Linked DNA regions of Coturnix japonica. The protein of the gene in region 2 purifies or fractionates together with the protein of the main gene of each other region. This does not show direct contact. Links are inferred from orthologs where the notes say so. Each region holds a gene or a part of one and is shown on either strand. Other genes may lie near its edges.

Region 1 (3,185 bases), on a different chromosome or scaffold from region 2:
AAATCCCAGCTGCTCCTTAGAATTAAAACAAAAGCAGATTGAAATCTTTCTCCTTTTTGCACAATTTGATCCATGGTTCACCCATCCCATTCCTAAGCAGCACACCTGACCTATTCCCTGCAACAGTCCATGGGCTGGCACCGCTGGGAGGGGATGAGAGGAAACATTCTGCTTTTGCCTTGGAATGGGATCCCCCTGCATCTAATGCAAGCTGGATAGACTCAGGGCTGGGGAGCAGAAACTGGAGAGGGGAGCAGGGCCAGGGCAGCCATTTTGTGACTAAGACACTGCCCTGCACAACCTGCAGCATTTAACAAGGCAGATGTGCTGCAGCCAGGCAGGGCCCACAGCACCACGGGCAGGGCAGGCACTTCCCCACCTGTACAAAGCTCACAGGAACTCTTAGAAAGCTTCTTCACCTCTGTTGCCACACTGACCTTTCTGATTAGTTTTTCTCCCCAGTCTGGGTAGGCCTGGTATTCTGGAGAACATGACACAAACCTCTGACTTCTTCCTTCATTTAATCCATAGGGCCTCAGGATACAGATTGTTGATCAAGATTTACAGTAGGACTACTAAAAAATAAAAACCTCAAACTGTGCACCACGCACGCTGCAGTTCTGGGTTCCAAAGCAAGAAGTGATGATACACAACAAGGTCTCTTGCTCACTCAAGAGGCATTGTCCTTTCTCTTCCATTTTTCACCCCTTCCACTCTTCCTCTCCTGCCCTTCCCGAAGGCAGCAGCTGCACCCAGGGAGCACAGCATGGCAGCCCATTCCCTGACACATGTGACCCGCACACATCATCTCACATCACAAGTTTGACACCTCCAGCCGCAGCTGAGAGCCCAGACTGCCCTTTGGCAGCCTTTCCCCATCAGGGGTTTCAGCTCAGAAAGACGCCTCTGGGGCTGGGAACAAACTGCTGCACGCAGCACCCACCCTATTCGCGCTCCTCTGCAAGCCTGGGGCTTTTCTGGAGTCTATTTGCTAAGGCTTAAAGTTGCAGGCCTAGGGGCAACCTTCCTGCTCACCAAGAAAGCAGAGATGTGATGATGCAGGGTGACCTGCCACAAGAGAAGGCCCCTCTAAGTCTTCTACTTCCCACTGACAGGACCTTTCCCAGAGGGCCACAATTGAGGCGAGGCAACCGCAGGACGCTCCAAGGTCAGTCTGTGTCTTCCTGCTTTATGCTGCTGATAGGAACGGGAAGCTCTGTAGTATCAAACACTGCCTCTGAGGGGTCGATGGTTTCTTCTTTCACCTGCACGGCAATGACTAGCAATGGACAGAAAGAGAGAAGGGGAAATAAATACAGGGAAAGCCAGCGCGGTCCACCTTCTATCTCTCTGGGTCCACACAAAGGGGAAATTAAGCCTTTATGAGCAACTGGAACCCTTCTGAGGCTTCACCCCAACACACACCAAGCACCTCACCCAACCCCCTTCCCCAGCACCAGAGCTGCACATGGCTACAAGGTAAAGTAACTCATTCCCTTACTCTCATCAGGTGCCAGATCTGGCAAAGCTTTGCTGGAAGCTTTTGCTTCTCTTTTTATCCGTGATGCGGGAGGCTTCTTGACTGTCTGCTTGATGGTGTGGGTTTTGGCAGGTAACTTTTTTCCTTAAGAAAGAGATAACAAAACATAGGAAAATGTGCACTTCTTTCCCCCAGTAAATCATCACCCCAGCTCCACTGAGAAGCCACAGGCCAAGGACCAGCTCAACCAACCAGCAAATTACACCATCACTGGCTGCCAACTGGTTACTCAAAAGAAAAGGAGCTGCTGAAGAAGAACTCTACATTCATCACCTCAGCATATGCTCCTCCACATTGTCCTTCAATAGAAATAAAGGACTTTAGCATGTGATACATTCCCAGGAGGTGGTCCTGCTGGAGTCCATTAAAGCTTTGCTTACCTGTCTGGGTCTAGCCCTAGGAAATGGGCATGGTGACTCCAGGGCATGGACTGCGTAGCATTGATAGTTTAATTTTTAGCTCATGTTTTTATTTAAGTTCAGTGTCTTTATACTCTTTAGATGTCCATTGCTCTCCACCCCCCAGAAAGGAACTCCTTGCCTGTCTATGCATTACTTGCCACACCTACTGCAACAGTGATAGCAACAAGGACAAGGTAGAACAGTGACATGGTCCAGCCCCACTACTGGCCTCTTCAGCCATCTTAAGGCTTTCTTTCCTTCAGCACAAAGCAGCCAGGGCTGCTCTCTGGCTGCCCTCCAGCTGCGGCCAAGAATCTCCCTCTTACCACAGACATGGTAGGAAAGCAGCACACCTCACGCCTGGAAACAAGCACCACTTGTACCTCAGCCAACAGAAAAGACTGTGAGAGCCTTCTCACACACACACAGCGCTCTGCTCTTGGATAATGGGGGCGAGTAAGAAGGATGAAGCTGAGCTGTCACACCCAGAGCTGACTGAGAGCAAACACAGCAAGACGAGGCCTCTCTCTCCTGCTCTGACAGATCATAGACAGGGTTCCTCTAACTGGGCCCAGCCTGCGAGCGAGCGGGAGGGCACTAGTCAAACATCACTCACTCTTCTTTCCATAGGGTTTCTTCCTCTTCTTGGGCACCTCCTTGGCCTTCGCTGGAGTTGTGAGCTCTGCCATAGAGATGAGAGGGAAACGAAAGCCAAGTCCCATAACCAGTAGGTAACTGGGATCAAGTGATATAAGCGAGAAACAAGATATACCCATCCCCCCGAGTCAGCGCCCTCTTCCCGAGACAACTGGCTGAGGGGAAAGCAAGGCCATAGTGCAGCCGTTGTCTGTGCTTCCACGTGAGGGCACAGGGTGGCAGGCTGAGGCAGCACAGGGGAGAGAGGCCTAGTGCATGTTGGGCAGGGACAGGCAAAAAAAATGAGATCTGTAGCTTGGATGCAGAAGGAAATAATCTGCAGAGGTGAGGCAATGGCCTCCCTGTGACAAGGAAAGGAATAAACTCTTCAGAGGGACACTCTTACCTTTCACAGTCAGAGAAATGATAAAGGTGCAATAGCTGAGGTGCCCCTGCTACCTGGCTGAGGCTGTAGTGTGCTTACTAAGAGGGAGATGTGCAGGGACAGGACCACCTGAACTCTACCCAACTTCAGCACGAGCAGCTCTCTGTTGGTGTGCAGGTGGGGATGCTGAGGGGAACCTGAGCCAACCTCAAACCTCAGGTTG
Region 2 (4,219 bases):
AGATCAGGTTGGACGGGGCCCTGGGCAACCTGATCTAGTAAAGGTGTATGTTTGGTGGCCCTGCCAGGCAGGGGGGTTGGAACTACATGATTCTTGAGGTCCCTTCCAACCCGGGTCATTCTGTGATTCTGTGTGATTCTGTGATATACAAAAATATAGACAGATACTTGCATCCATATGATACTTACATGTATAATTTGTCTTTAATGCTTTCATACTTATTCACTTTTTCAGGACAATATTAGCTTTGGCTCATCTTTGCAATTGCACACATGCATCTACAGGAAAGCCCAGCTGCAAGATTTCATTTAAGGGGAGACTGCATTTGAAACCAGAAAATTTTAACGAAATCATTGTTGTAGGTTATATGAATGTTAAAACATCCCATTCAGCAAATGGAATGACCGCCCTCTGGTGGTGGGTCGAAAATCGATCCAATTGGAGAAGATATGCCTCCAGTTGAGTATAACAGCAAGAGGATAATCTTCATTCCTTATTGGACTGTACTTTCTGCTATTGAATACTTAGAGAGCATTATGTTGCCCGTAAGAAAGTGTGTGTTTTTAGGTATCAGTGATGTGTCACAGAAGCACACAGAATCACAGAATGACCCGGGTTGGAAGGGACCTCAAGGATCATGTAGTTCCAACCCCCCTGCCTGGCAGGGCCACCAAACATACACCTTTACTAGATCAGGTTGCCCAGGGCCCCGTCCAACCTGGCCTTGAACACCTCCAAGGACGGGGCATCCACAACCTCACTGGGCAGCCTGTTCCAGGGCCTAACCACTCTCCTAGTGAAGAACTTCCCCCTAACATCCAACCTAAATCTTCCCTCTTTTAACTTAAAACCATTTCCCCGTGTCCTGCTATTATCAGCCCTTTCCAAGAGTTTACTCCCCTCCTGGGAGTAAGTTCCCTTCAGGTATTGAAAGGCTGCAATGAGGTCACCCCGCAACCTTCTCTTCTCCAGGCTGAACAAACCCAACTCCCTCAGCCTGTCCTCATAGGGGAGGTGCTGGAGCCCCCTGATCATCTTTGTGGCCCTCCTCTGGACCCTTAACAAAATCTCCATGTCTTTCTTGTACTGAGGGCTCCACACCTGGACACAGTACAACAGATGGGGCCTCACAAGAGCCGAGTAGAGAGGGACAATCACCTCCTTATCCCTGCTGACCACCCCTCTCCTGATGGAGCCCAGGATCCCATTTGCTTTCCGGGCTCCCAGAGCGCACTGCTGGCTCATGTTGAGTCTTTCGTCCATCCCCCTGTGCAGCCTGTTCCATTGACCCCCACACAGCGCTCAGTGATGAGGGCACTGAGGTAACGATGCACACGGCGCTTCCGCTGCGAGAGAGCGGGAAATCCCCGCGGCACCGGATTGGTGCTCGGCCTTTGCGTCACCTTGGCCAGGTGCGCGCATGCGCAAACGCTCCATCCGCCGCCCGGCCGCCCACAGGTGGGGGAGGGTAGGAGCGGCCGCAGCGCTGAGCCCAGGCGGCCCCGGCACCCCCTCCACCCGGAGGTGGGGCGGGGATGGAGGCGCCTTTATCCCGCACGGGCCCCCAGCAACATCGGGTAGGGTTTTGAGTGCTCTGCCGTCTCATCGAAGTCCGCCGCCGGCGTGAAGGAGGAAGAGGAGGGGGCGCGCCAACATGGCCGCCGCCTCCAAGTGGGAGCGCCTGAGGCCGCTGCGGCCGGACACGCTGCGTCTGAGCGCGGTACGGAGCGGGCGGGGAATAGGGATGGAAATACAGCCTGGGAACGGCCAGAGGGCGGGGCTGGGATGGGCTGGGTTGGGGCTTGGATCCTGCTGCGGAGGGAGGGAGGGGTGTGTGGGGAGGGACGGCGCTGCGGGTTGCTGGGAGCGGGAGGACGTCAGGATAGAGCTTTTCTAATGTAGCTCTTTATAGAATCACACAGAATCACAGAATGAGCCGGGTTGGAAGGGACCTCAAGGATCATGTAGTTCCAACCCCCCTGTCTCTTTACGGGTAGAGTGGAGAGGTTTGATTTAAAACTTGGTTTCCCAGCCAAAATAGGAGTGCTTCACCACCAGTGCTTCTAATTAATGGGTACATATGACTGCAGAGAGTTGAGTGGTGGACTTAATAGAGACCCAGTACATTTTAAGCGCTAAAATCTGGAACGTGATGAAATGTAATCCCTTAAAAAGCTGTTTTAAAAGAGAAAACAGTTTCGGTTCTGTCTCTTTACAAAGAACAAGTTGACACGGTGCCAAAAACAAAAAATGCAGAACTAGAAAGAGGAGACAGAGCTGCTGGGGGCCATTGGGAAGGACAAGGAGGAGGTGGTGAAGCTGGGACCGAAGCTGGGAAGGCAGCGAAGGATGGTCGGAAAGTGGCATCGGCAGCCGAGGCCTATGGGGAGCTGTGAGGCAGAGTGGCCTCGTGAGGCTTATAGAGGTGTTATAGGCCTTGTGGGTTGGGTTTGTGTTCTGGGCCCTGTAGGGGGGATCCCAGGGCCTTCTAGAGCCTTTGTGGGGGGAGCATTCAGGAGTATAGGAGCATAGAATCACACAGAATCACAGAATGACCCAGGTTGGAAGGGACCTCAAGGATCATGTAGTTCCAACCCCCCTGCCTGGCAGGGCCGCCAAACATACACCTTTACTAGATCAGGTTGCCCAGGGCCCCGTCCAACCTGGTCTTGAACACCTCCAAGGACGGGGCATCCACAACCTCCCTGGGCAGCCTGTTCCAGGACCTAACCACTCTCCTAGTGAAGAACTTCCCCCTAACATCCAACCTAAATCTTCCTTCTTTTAACTTAAAACCATTTCCCATAGAGATCCCGTAAATGCTGTAACGGAGGAATTGGGGCCCTATAGATTCTATAGGGTGCTCCCAGGACACCATAGGGCAACAGAGACTCTTTACAGTGCCCTGTTGTCCAGGGCTCTCTCCCTCTCAGGTATTTTCTCAGACCTGAGTGCACTATTTGCAATCAGCCTCTCATCAGACTCTGGTGATGTTAAGCACCAAGTTAACCTGGTCATCTAGCTCAGGTCTGCTCCTGTGCTGTCCATGAGGTATGTAGCAAGAGCTCCACCTGCTTGTATGTCTGCAGCGTGCTGTGGGGACTGAGTGCAAGGCGTGGGGAAGGGCTGAGTGGCTGTGCTGGATGGTGACTGTACCACCTCCCTTGGTAGCCTTTTCCAATGGATCACCACTCTTTCCAAGAAAAAAAACAAACATTTTCTGGTATTGAACTTGAACCTCCCCTGGCACAGCACGTGCTTTGGGACTTTGGGAGAGCAGACTTCGGGACTCAGCTTATTCAGGCAACACATCACTGAAATATTGGGAGAGGCAGCTTGGAAAGATGAAGGGGTGGAGGCCTGTAAGGACATCATCGAGGGTGACTGGAGCTTTTTAACTGCCAAGGAAGGGTGAGTGAAGGAAAATGTGAATTTGCTGCTAAGGGGAAGAAGTGGTTTAGTGAAAGCAGACACAGATAAGGCTGGAGATGTTAGAAACCTCTGGGAATAGGCTGGAGGGATGGATCATCAAGGAGATGATCAACTTGAACAAGGAATTTGAAAATTAAGTCTGAATCCTATACCTGGAAGTGTAACTTGATGTGGTAAAGGCTGGGAAGTGAGATGTTATGGAATTATCCTGCTGAAGAGTCCTGTCCTGACCTGAGAATCTGTATGGACAGTGGGCTAAACATGAGATATCGGTATATCCTGCACTGAGGTGTATGCAGTTCTCCTTTGCTTGTCAAGTATTTGCTTCTGTGGGTGTGGGAGCCATAGTGGTGAGGCTGGTCTCTTTTCAGCAGTGCATGGGGATAGGACTAGGGGTAATGGGATGAAAGTACAGCATAGGAAGTTCCGCACGAATGTGTGGAAGAACTTCTTTACAGTGCAGGTGATGGAGCACTGGAACAGGCTGCCCAGGGAGGTGGTGGAGTCTCCTTCTCTGGAGATATTTAAGACCCGCCTGCATGCCTACCTGTGTGACATGGTGTAGGGAGCCTGCTTTGGCAGGGGGGTTGGACTTGATGATCTCTAGAGGTCCCTTCCAACCAATTCTGTGATTCTGGAGTGCTGTGTCTCATTTGGGACTGACCGATACAGGAAGGATGGTGATAAACTTGAGTGCAGCCATCAGCCATCTGTCAAAAGTGGCACATGTGTTAAGACACGTAACTGAAGGAGCATTTTAAGCCACAGCAACCCACGACTAATTGCA
Region 3 (4,221 bases), on a different chromosome or scaffold from region 2:
CAACGATACAGAACAATTTAGTCTAGAAAGTAAATAAGAAAGCCATGTCTACAGGAAAATTTAGGTCTTCAGTCGAGCAAACAGCAAAACACACAGGGATTTCCAACCGGCAGATGGGATGTCAGCTTCCCACCTGACTCACAGCACATCTAACTGGCTCCATGCTGGGCACTGGTTCATTATAAACCCAAAGAAAACAGTGCCACCTTGGGAGTCTGTTATGTCCCTTCTTGCTGCATCCAGGATTTCTCTTGGATGTCTCCTGTCCAAGAACAACCTGGTTTAATCATCCACGGTGACACTACCATGGAACAAGTTAATTCAAGTCCATGACTGAGAGCTCCCTCCAGAAGTATAATAAAATATGACTGAGGAGTCGTAAGAATTATTCCCACTACCCTTAACAACGCCACCAGTTTTAAAGTTCATAATCCATATGTTGCCCTTAGCATCAAAGGTTATTCTTCTGGAGAGAGGAAAATGGTTCAACAGTAAAAACACACATAAATCTGACTCTAAATTTGCACCTGAGTAAGATTCTGTGAAATTAATTGTACACAATTAGCATAAAAACACGCGAGTTACAATCAACTTAACCTAATTTGCAGTGGCCTTCAAAAGCATTTCACTTGACTGTGATTGCCTGGTTCTCTATCTGCAAATCTGTTCACATTTAGAGAATTTTAACACTCAGAAGCAGACATCAAACAGTTCATCACAAAGAAACAGATTTCTCTGAACTAAAAAAAGGTGCTTTACATCACTGCTTACATCACATAGGGGCTACTATGTCTAGTAGACATAGATTTCATTGATTTAAAGAAGAAAAAAGCAGGAATTTGGAAGTAAGAACCAATGCACACTTAAGAACTGTGCTGAGGCATCGGCTTCATACATACAAACATTAAGATTCAAAATGGAAGACAAAAAAATCCCCCAACATTCCCAGTGCCATCAGAACTGCACGGTATTGTGACTGTGAACAACGCCAACAAAAATGTCTAATTCTAAGGGTGGTACGACTAAATGGTTTAATAGGGCCCCAATTTGGTGCCTTGGACTTCATTTCCTTTAAATCAATCAATCAATCAATCCACCCAAACAGCCTTTTGTGTCTCCTTGGCACCCTAAGGATTCTTCTCTCCATAGATACAAAGGTCTACTCACCAGCTCACATCTCAGCTCAGAGCTGGACCTAAAACTGCCCATTCGAGCCCACCCCACCCCCCAACATCTATCTGATAACCCCAGACTTTGCACCTACATGAAAACATGACCCATTTAAACTGAATGGGAAAATGACATCCACAAACCCCATCACTTCAGAGTTTAAGCAGAGAAATAAAAATGACGGTATCAGCTAAAACTCTGCATATCACAACGCTGTGAGGGAGAAAGAGGAAAGAAAAAATAATCGTTCCTAAAATACGTTCAATTTATGTCACAGTCCAAAACCTATAAAGTATTCAAGAAGGAGGGGGAAAAAAGCAATGGTGACACAGGTATCTCAGGACCTGCTTGATTGTTTGTTTCGTCTTAGTGCTTTCATCAACTGAGTTTCAGGATCAGTGGAATCTGAAGTCACTTTGTCTATCAGACTGGCCGGAGGCTGAGGATGGCTGCAGCCTCCAGCCGTGCTGCCTTCCCAAACTTACAATCATCCCTTTATTTTGCTGAACGTGACCAGCTGGAGCACATCTACCTGCGATACAACAGAACGCCACACTTATCGCTGGAAAGCACGCTGTATGTGACAGATGCAATTCCTCTCGGCACATTTACCTCACTGATTGCCTTATTTATGATATACACATATACATATTCGAAGCTGAAGTTATGAGCACTTCCGACACATGCTCCAGTTCGCAGAACTCCAGGAAATCAACTTCAGAAATAGAGACGCATCATTCTCACCACGCATCTGCACTTACAAATGTGTAACGTTTGCTGCGAGTCACATTCAGCGCTGTTATGAATGCTATCTAAAACGCAATTGCTGCTCATCATAGGATCGCAACTTTTATTGCCACTCAAACTTCTCCGGCTGACAGCATTAAGCCATAAGCTCCATACACTAACAAAGGATCCTTTAATAATGCTCTCCCCGGCCAGCACTCCCGCTGGCCGTGTGAAGCCCCCGCTGGCCCGGTGTCAGGAGGGGCAGGGAGCAGGTAGGTCACCGTGCACCTTCTGACGGCTGGCATAGAGCAGCTCCTCGTGGGACGCCGCTGGTGCACGGATCGCTGTGGGGAGGGAACCCCCCGGCCCGGCCCGGTTCCCCCCCCCGCCGAACGCGGCCCCGCTACCGTCAGGGCCGCCGCCTCGCGAACCGGGGGCCGCCGGCGGGGACTCACCGTGTGGAGGTGCCCTTTCTCACGTCGCACATCATGCACTTGAAGGCCTCGGCGCTGTTGCGGAAGGTGCAGACGCTGCAGTCCCAGTAGCCCTCGTCCGAGGAGGGTTTCGGCTGCCGCTTCGGCCTGCGGAGACACAGCACACGCGGGGCACGGTCGGGGCGCGCCGCCCGACACCGGCCCCCCCCCCGGGCGCCATCGCCGCCGGCCCCGCGCACCCGAGCGGGCCCCGGGAAGGCGGCGGCGCTGCCCTACCTGGTCGGGCTCTTCTTGTCTCCCATGCCGCCTCCACACGCGTCCCCGGCCCGGCCCCGGCGCGGCCCTTTGTGTATTTGTCAATAAGGAGGAGCGCGGGGGTCTCTCGCCTCTAACGGGGACCCGCGGAGGAGGAGCCACCGCCGCAACCTCCAGCTGTCGGGGAAACTCCTGCCGCCGCCGCTGCCCCCTCCTCCCTCACGTGTCCCCCCGCCGCCAACCAGCGGCCGCCCGCAGGCCGCGGAGCCCGGCGGGCCGCGCACGGCGGCAGGTTCGCGGCTGGAGAGCGCCGGGGATCGGGCGCTGCGGGCCGGGAGGCGGCGGGACCGGGGCAACGCGGGGGCTGCTGGGGGCGGCCGTAGGGGAGGGGAAAGGAGACGAGAGGAGACGACAGGGGAGAGGAGGCGGCGCGGCCGTGCCCGGGGCCGGCAGCGGCGGGGCGTCCTGCGGCCATTGTCCGGCTGACGGGAACGGGGCCGCGGCGTTCGGCTCGCAGAGGCCCAGCGCGGGGCGGAGGCCGCTGCCGGGCAGAGCGCGGCTGTGCGGGGCCGGGCCGCCGTCAGTCGGTGTGGAGAGCAGCCCTCGGCCGCCTGCAGAAGGGCTGAGCCCGGGGTACGGCCTCCGAGAGAGAGGTGAGGTGTTTGTACAGCCCGTGCAGCTCTGCCCTTAGGAACGGGCTTTTCCCGTGGTAATCCTGCTTCGCTCTGCTCCCGAAGATACCGTGCAGGCCGAGCTGTGCGGAACCAACCGAGCGCTAAGTGGGGTTCTGCTTAGAAACCTCCGGTGCGACCCGGCCTGTCCGCCCCACGATGCTGCCTGTATCCATGTGCAGTACTGCGCTTCAAACACTGCTGTGTGCTGTGTGCTGTGGCGCACAGCGGTCGTGTACCTGCGCTATCTCCGCACGCAGCAGCCCCGGGCACAGGGCAGGGTGCCATTTTGCAGGATGCTGCGCAAACAGAACAAAGAGCACATGTCCGGAGTGTGTAACAAAGGCGGTTCGGTACAGGTAGATGGCAGAGTGCGAGCAGACAATGAGGTGGTCAGCATCGCAGTGACCACAGCTGGTTTTGCTGCATCGCCTTTGCGTAGGAACGGCGGGGTTTTGAGAACAAAACGTGCCCCAAGGGGTGATTCACCCGAGTGTGTGAACAAGCACAGCTGGAGTTGTTGGGGCATCTTTAGAAATTTAGCGAGTGGATAATAGAGAAACTTCTCGTTTCCGAAGGCAAAGTTTGTAAAGAATTTCAGCTAGAAATATTGGGAAGTGATGAAGGAGTGGAAAACGTGGGTAAAGGGCTTGACATCTTCTTGTAGAAGCAATGAAAGATCCATTATGTGGAACATCTACATGTATGTAAAAGTACTAATGCTTAAGTACTAACACTTGTACAGGCTGCAGTTTTCTGCATCGCTCCTGTGATCCTGGATGCAAGCAATTTGAAGGCTGCATAGTATTTCCTACTTGTGTTCGGTTGTTAATCCTCATTTCCTCCTGCATTTGCATCCTGTTACCAGTGTTGTCATTTTCCACTCCCTAGCTGCTTGTTTTCCCTTTATCTGCCTTGCCTGCTCCTTTCTTCCTCTATTGCAATTTCTTTCATCTATTTGT
Region 4 (3,515 bases), on a different chromosome or scaffold from region 2:
TACCATTCTTCAGTGTTTCTTCAGGCTCTGCTGTCAGATATTATTTGAGTGGGTTAAATAGGCTGAGGAAGTGCTTGGAAAGTAGCGTTAACCAGAAGATGTAGTGAAACCTTTAATACTTAGAGCAAAAAGCAACGCAACCTTGACTTTGTTGTTGCTTACTGGCCTTTGAGATAAAGGATCAGATCCTGTAATACTCATTTTCTTCTGTGGAAGATTCTGTAGATACCTACAATCCTAGAGAGTTGGTGTTTCTTTTAAATAGACATTAATTTGATACAGAGATCCAAAACATTGAGGTGATGAGAATGACCAAAGCTGAGAACAGGTATCAGAAAACAGCCTTCCATTGAACCAAAGGGATTTTAGTCCAGTGGAGAGCACAGATGGAGATGTTCCACTTGTAGCCCACCTGTCTCAACACCAGTAATTAGAATGTTGTTAGCATGGTATAGTGAGTCTTTTCTCCTTTCCCGCCCCCCACCCACCCCTCCCTGTTTTCTTCATCTCATTTCTCTTTATAATGCTTTCATTTATTGCAGTCAGCAGCCTTCATAGACAAGTTGGATGTTTTCATATGTTTGTGTTCATTTACTTCCAGTCCTGCATTCTTTTTTTTTTCCCCCTGTGGAGGCAAAAAAAAGCCAGTGTGGTTGGTACTTCTCAGACATAAATACTGGGTTCAAAATACACCTGGGACGTGCAGGTAGTTATTACCAAAATAGAAATACGTGCTCTGTTTTAAATAATCTCTTTTCTATTCCCAACTCCAAACAAGTGTCGCACGAGATGTAACCATATGTGGAAACTCACTGTTTGAAGGGGGAACTTGAACCTTTTCCTCATCTTTGCTTTCTTGCACCTTCAATTCGTGGCTTGCTAACAAAAGTAAGGGTGTCTGGGGGAGAAGTTAATGCAGAAACAAAAGGAAGAACACAACAGATAGGCTTGGAAAGACAGCTCAGCTTCTTCGCTTTGTGAAAAACAAGAGTTTTCTTTGCATCTGACAGACACTTTTTCCCCTTCCTTTTACCACACTGAGAAATAATCCTGCAAAATCTCAAAATCAGTTTCAAAATGGCTTCGCAATACGCTCAAACTAACCCACGTTCAGTCTAGAGAGGACTAGAAAAGTGCCATGAAGTAAATGCAGGTGCTCCATGACTTCTGCTTGCCTGCTTCTGTCGTGTAGGAAGCGCATTAGTGAGGAAGTAGCTTTGTCTGCTTTAAGGTGCTGCATGACTGTACGCTCTCAGAGCTTTATACTGTCCCCATTAATTTATGGCTGCCATTTGAACAATTTTTCCTATAAGGAGCAATCCAAAATGGCCATCAGACCGTTTTTGGTCCGTTGGTGCTCCAGATAATGGGATACGACAAGATTCTAGACACGTCCTGACCTTTTCCAGATTGCAAACAAGGAAATTCTGAAAGGTGTCCTTCTATCAATATTGAGTTGTGCCTTATTAAACTGGGAATGCCTTGAGGATGATGTGGATGTAATATTTCTTTTAAGAACTTTGAAGAATATTATTTAAAGTATATCGAATGTCAACTTAAAACACTTGATTTGTAAATTAGCAAGAGTTTAATGACATGTTAAGTGCTGTACCTTAAGTGTAGCTGTCTTAACGTTTGCACCTTTCTGCCATCCCTTTGAATGTTAGTTACATGGGTGCGTGGCTGATAGTGGGAAAGGACTGCAGTAGTTTGCTGCTCCTGGCATGCATCCTGTTCAATAATTATCGATTATCATTGAATATTCTGTTTATGGTAGCACTGCATTGTAAACTTTGCTCCCATCAGCCTTTTTTTTTTTTTTTTTGGAAAAGGCAGTAACCACCTTATTTTTTATTGTTATTATTTTATTTTTATTATTATTATTAGCACCCCTTTTCTGTTTGATGCATTTTCCCTTATTACTTTTCTTTACTTCTGCCTCATGCTGTTTCTTGCCCTCCGCCTTTTCACAGGCACGGAGTTAACATATAGAAGCTTGATAAAAATATTGAGCATGTAGCACTCTGAGAATTAAATTTCTAAGGGGAGTGGAGGCACTGAGTGTATGGACAAAGATATTTCACCTTAATAAAAACTGGTGTTCTGTGTTGGGTATATCATTAAGTGGCTGAAAAAAAACAACCAAAACCAACCCAAAATATGACCATGTCTTGCTCAGGTTACCCGACCTCATGCACTAATGTGAAACGAGTCTGAGCTTCTGGCTCTAGTGTGAATAAATACATGATTCCTTGCTGTTTACTGAGCAAAGTTGGATTTGGCCAGTGAAGTAACGATGTAAAAGCAAAAGAATGAATAATGGCATTCTGAATTTCTTTTGTAGCACAAAATGGGAAAGAAACAAAATGGCAAAGGTAAAAAAGTTGAAGAGGCAGAGCCTGAAGAATTTGTTGTGGAGAAAGTCCTGGACAGACGTGTTGTGAATGGAAAGGTGGAATACTACTTGAAGTGGAAAGGATTTACAGAGTAAGGCATTACCATTATTTTTTCTGGTACAATGCTAAATATTAACCATTTATTTGAAATAACTGTGTGGATGGGGGATTGGATGGTGGGGATACACTTGAAAGAGCTGAAAGGGAAGGACAGCATAAATGTCTATTCAAGTGGGGCAGGCGAGTATGACAATAAAACTGAAGATAGGTAGCTTAGGGTTTGTGCTTGGTCACGTTCCAAAACTCATACAAAGCCCTCAGTGATTGTTCTTTTGCCACTGCTCTTTGATGTAGCTTGTGTCAATATCAAGCAAGGTATGTTAGACTGATAGTTGTCATAAAATAGGTATACTTTCATATGCAGAGGAATGAATGTTATTTCTGAGAAATAAAGTTTGCAGGGCTATAAACAGTAGGCAGCACTGAAGCAGTGAATTTGAGGAGGTTGGGGGGTTCTTTGCTTTTTTGAGTTGCTCTTAGACGTATCAAAAAGGTATTTTTCAGCCTCTTTCTGAGTGCTTGCATCAGCTAAGAAAAGGGGATGCATTGGATGTTAAAACCTAGCATTTTAACATTAGTAGTTACATATACACATCTCCCAAAGCAGCCTTCTGCATTCTAGCACCTTAAAGTTTTGGTAACTGAAAATAATGGGTGGGCATCCTCTTTGTGAAGTAGCGCTGTGGCAGTATTAGTGGCTGAGGGCTTCAGATGAGGTGCTTGATTGTTGGATGGAACGTTCATGGACGGCGTAAAATGTTATTTAACAGAATACATACTCTCTAGAACAGTTGCAATACCCAGCTCTGGATATGGAGCCTTTTATTTTTTTCCATATAATTACAGACTATTAGCATGGTTTGAGTTGGAAAGGACTTCAGGGTCCACACAGTTCCAGCCCCCTGCCATGGGTGGGCTGATGCCCATTAGCTCAGGTTGCCCAGGGCCCTATCCAACCTGGCCTTGAGTTCCTCCAGGGATGGAACATCCACAGCTTCTCTGGGCAGCTGTGCCAGTGCATCACCTCTCTCTCAGTGAAGAGATTTCCCTGATATCTAA
Region 5 (3,515 bases), on a different chromosome or scaffold from region 2:
TGCAGTGGGATTGAAGTTAAATTCTGTGGATCCAACAATGAGCATTGACTTGAAATACTTGGGTGTGCAGCTTCCCCTTTCCTACTCAAATTATTCTTTGTGGAGCTATCCAGGAACAAACCCCAATTCTCCAGGTGAGTGGAACACAAATCTGCTTGATTGAAAGTATTACATTGTATAGTCGATGATCAGAGGGATTCGGGACGTGATGCTGTTCAGAGGTAGTATTCTTTTTCCTTAGGGCAGGGATATTCAACTTTCCAAAAGCCCATAAACAAAACACTGTAAAAAGCATTTAACGTTTTATTTGATTAGGTTTTTGTTGTTGGGTTTTTTGTTTGTTTTGTTTCTTTTTTTCCCCACAAAGCTTTTGATGAAATATGCTTTTAAAATTACAACTTCTTGTGTTAATTTATTTGGTATCCCAACAAATGCAGTTTCTCATTAAGATATGACTGATTCTACTACTGGTAAAATACTGTTTTTTTAACAGTAAACTTGTTAGCTAAACAAAGCACAGGGTGGTTAATTCCAGTGTCTCTCTTGCTTCAGTATTCTGACTGCTGTTGTTTTCTCCCTGTACTGATTTTGGAGCTGGTAAAGTGGCAGTCCTTGTGTCCCAGACTTGTGTATACCACAAAAGAGGCTCATTCAATTCAGAGCACCCTAGTCCAGCTCTGTGTCAAGGGCAATTACTTCTAGACTAGCAATATATAAAACAGCTACAAAGGATCCTGTTAATATATCCACATTACACTTCAGCACTCAGAGATCGTGGATCATTTGACAGAGCTGTCACTGTTTAACTTTTGTGATTATTCTGTCTCTATGCTTCACAGATATTCTGTTGAATTTGACAGAACAGCAAACATTAAATGTAGTTCCTACAGGTCACTCAGATTCATTAGCTAAACTGTGAATGAGAAGCACAACTTACTTTCCCCATTCAGCTCAAAACTTACTTGTCCCGTTTTAGCCTGTTTGCATTTGGAAAGCAACTGCTTGCATTATTGCTAAGGGAAGAAGGGTGAAACTGGAGAGGATATTTTATGTGTAGGATAGAGGAATGCATAGTTACATGATAATTGTCCTGGATGCCTGGCTTTGTTACTTATTCCCTTAATTAGGGAAAAAAGGCACCTTATTCTGCCTTTTGATCTATTAGAGTGCATGCATCTCTGAAAATAAATAAACAATTCACTAGGATATTTATGTCAATCTTGATTTACAAACTGAGGCTGGCTTTCTTCTTTTCCAGATACTGGATTTCCTTTTGTTTCAAGAACAGGAAAGACAAATGATTTCAGGAAGATCAAAGGCTGGCGGGGGAAGCTTCATGGTGCTTCTAGAAATGAAGGTAGAAGAAACAGAATGGGATTAAAATAAAAGTGATGAGACGAGTGCAGATATTTTTATGACCTTTTTTCTTAATCTTGGAGAGATTTTGCAATTCAGTTTTAGTGTGTATTTTAATGGGAGAATTATTTTTGTTTTGGGATTCTCTTGAATATTGCTACTACTTCCATGAACAGCCAAGAATGAGCGGTTATAAGGGGAAAAGAGAAACTGAAAATAATAAAAAGAACAGAATCAACAAAAAACATATTCTATTATACACAGAAGGTTTCAGTGAAAATCAAAGTGGTATTGGTTTTGGTTTTGTTCATCTGGTTTAACCTGGGGAACAGTGTGGTAAGTCCAGGCTTCTGTTGCCCTAGAGACTTCACAATGATTTTCTTTTAGATTGGATGTATTTTTAACTCTAGATAGGTGAATATTTCTACATATTCAACTCTTTGCCCTGCCACAGAGAGAAATGAGTATTCAGCAGTTTGCCAGGTCATGTTTGGAAATTAGGTGAAATATTTCTACTGTACTCTCTGCATTTGAATACAGTGTTGTGTCAGGGTATTACGGATTTATTCTGCTGTTGCCAGATACATGTGGGATACGTATTTAGGGCAAACGAAAGTAAGCTGCACAGAAGCACTGACTGTTGAAGACTTTCTCTTTTTATGAATGTACATGCTTGTAAAATTTCTACAAAAAGAGTTGTTCAGACTGCTGGCTGTGTTTGAGATTGAGTTATATTTGATATTTGTGTGTTGTATTCTTAAAGTAATTACATACTTCTTTAAAGAAGTATTTAGCTCTTCTATACTGTTGAGTTGTAGTAAGATTTAAACATATGTATATATATATATATAAGATAAAAGCTTGTCAGCATGCTTTCCCAGGGGCCAGGTAAAATGCCCTTCATTTATTTAGGTGGAGGTTCAGAAGGTTCCTTGAAGAATCGCTCAGCATTCTGCAGTGACAAGCTGGATGAGTACCTGGAAAATGAAGGGAAGCTGATGGAAACGAGTATGGGATTCTCTTCTAGCACGCCCACTTCCCCTGTGGTCTATCAGCTTCCCACCAAGAGCACTAGCTACGTGCGAACACTAGACAGTGTTTTGAAGAAACAATCTACCGTAATTCCATCCACATCTCACACCTTCAAGCCTGCTTCTCTGTCATCTACCTCTAGGAAGACAAGGACTCAAAACAGACAAACATCTTCAAACAGCAGAGGGAGATCATCCTACAAGCCTATACTGCCTTCACCTTTTCCTGCCAAGCAGAAACAGAACCTTTCAGCATCAGTGGAAAAGGCTGCTAAGTCTCTCTCAAGTAGCAGTTCGAGTAACCAAGCAGATGGTCTCCTGATACCAAATCTGGATGAAAGCGTACTGCCAAAACAAATAAGTTTGCGCCATGTGCCACAACAGCAACAAGCATCTCGTCCGCCAGGTTTGTCTAAATCTCAAGTGAAGCTAATGGACTTGGAAGACTGTGCTCTCTGGGATGGCAAACCACGAACCTACATTACAGAAGAACGAGCAGATATCTCTCTGGCTACCCTGCTTACGGCTCAGGTAGGTAGCACTATTTTTCATTCTGTCTTTCAGTACTGTTGCTTTTTCAATTGTCTGTAGTTACTGAAGCTGCCTGTAGATGCAGAAAATGAGACTGAAGCTACTTATGAGCATGACAAAACACGATCTTCCTTTGTGTTGCAGCCTTTGTATTGGAAGTTCAGATCTGCTGTCTTAACAGTATGTGAAAATGCTAACTGTATTAGTAACGTGTTGATAGGAATCATTAATTGTTTATTATCTCAATTTCCCTGTTAAAAGTTGATGGGTACAGTTGCTATTCCATAACTGCACCTCCTTACTATTTGACACTTTTTTTTTTTTTTTCAATAGGGCTAACTCAAAGAAACAAAAAAGACATCGTGTAACTTTGATGTCAGCTGATAAACTCTTTTGCTTTCTTCATCACCCACTTCATAGAGAGGCTGTTTAGCTGTCTTAAATTGCATCTCAGAATATTAAAACATAAACTCTCCTCTATTGTATTTTTTTCCATACGTGTGACAGATTTTCATAGATAACCAGACCATGTAGTAGGAGGGAGTTATTATTCTGAATGAACTTAGAATAGCAATTTCACTTGCACTTGATTTCATC

What was found.
Region 1: the proteins of E2F6 (region 2) and L3MBTL2 purify together in Homo sapiens (affinity purification with mass spectrometry; 5 studies listed by BioGRID and IntAct, counting the BioPlex papers as one, with this or other methods). This does not show direct contact. The link is inferred for Coturnix japonica from reciprocal best matches to the Homo sapiens genes E2F6 and L3MBTL2.
Region 3: the proteins of E2F6 (region 2) and YAF2 purify together in Homo sapiens (affinity purification with mass spectrometry; 4 studies listed by BioGRID and IntAct, counting the BioPlex papers as one, with this or other methods). This does not show direct contact. The link is inferred for Coturnix japonica from reciprocal best matches to the Homo sapiens genes E2F6 and YAF2.
Region 4: the proteins of E2F6 (region 2) and CBX3 purify together in Homo sapiens (affinity purification with mass spectrometry; 4 studies listed by BioGRID and IntAct, with this or other methods). This does not show direct contact. The link is inferred for Coturnix japonica from reciprocal best matches to the Homo sapiens genes E2F6 and CBX3.
Region 5: the proteins of E2F6 (region 2) and MGA purify together in Homo sapiens (affinity purification with mass spectrometry; 3 studies listed by BioGRID and IntAct, counting the BioPlex papers as one, with this or other methods). This does not show direct contact. The link is inferred for Coturnix japonica from reciprocal best matches to the Homo sapiens genes E2F6 and MGA.

Annotation. Positions count from the first base shown.
Region 1 is NC_029516.1:45,382,157-45,385,341, forward strand, and holds the end of L3MBTL2 (lethal(3)malignant brain tumor-like protein 2), read right to left. Parts: intron 2,624-3,185; coding exon 2,558-2,623; intron 1,625-2,557; coding exon 1,502-1,624; intron 1,280-1,501; coding exon 1,170-1,279; 3' UTR 505-1,169; downstream 1-504. UniProt on the Homo sapiens protein: Putative Polycomb group (PcG) protein. PcG proteins maintain the transcriptionally repressive state of genes, probably via a modification of chromatin, rendering it heritably changed in its expressibility.
Region 2 is NC_029518.1:88,734,208-88,738,426, reverse strand, and holds the start of E2F6 (transcription factor E2F6), read left to right. Parts: upstream 1-1,417; 5' UTR 1,418-1,654; coding exon 1,655-1,720; intron 1,721-4,219. UniProt on the Homo sapiens protein: Inhibitor of E2F-dependent transcription. Binds DNA cooperatively with DP proteins through the E2 recognition site, 5'-TTTC[CG]CGC-3'. Has a preference for the 5'-TTTCCCGC-3' E2F recognition site.
Region 3 is NC_029516.1:26,706,514-26,710,734, forward strand, and holds the start of YAF2 (YY1-associated factor 2), read right to left. Parts: upstream 2,814-4,221; 5' UTR 2,636-2,813; coding exon 2,610-2,635; intron 2,481-2,609; coding exon 2,355-2,480; intron 1-2,354. UniProt on the Homo sapiens protein: Binds to MYC and inhibits MYC-mediated transactivation. Also binds to MYCN and enhances MYCN-dependent transcriptional activation. Increases calpain 2-mediated proteolysis of YY1 in vitro.
Region 4 is NC_029517.1:29,457,677-29,461,191, forward strand, and holds part of CBX3 (chromobox protein homolog 3), read left to right. Parts: intron 1-2,344; coding exon 2,345-2,487; intron 2,488-3,515.
Region 5 is NC_029520.1:22,373,086-22,376,600, forward strand, and holds part of MGA (MAX gene-associated protein), read left to right. Parts: intron 1-5; coding exon 6-134; intron 135-1,258; coding exon 1,259-1,357; intron 1,358-2,268; coding exon 2,269-2,918; intron 2,919-3,515. UniProt on the Homo sapiens protein: Functions as a dual-specificity transcription factor, regulating the expression of both MAX-network and T-box family target genes. Functions as a repressor or an activator.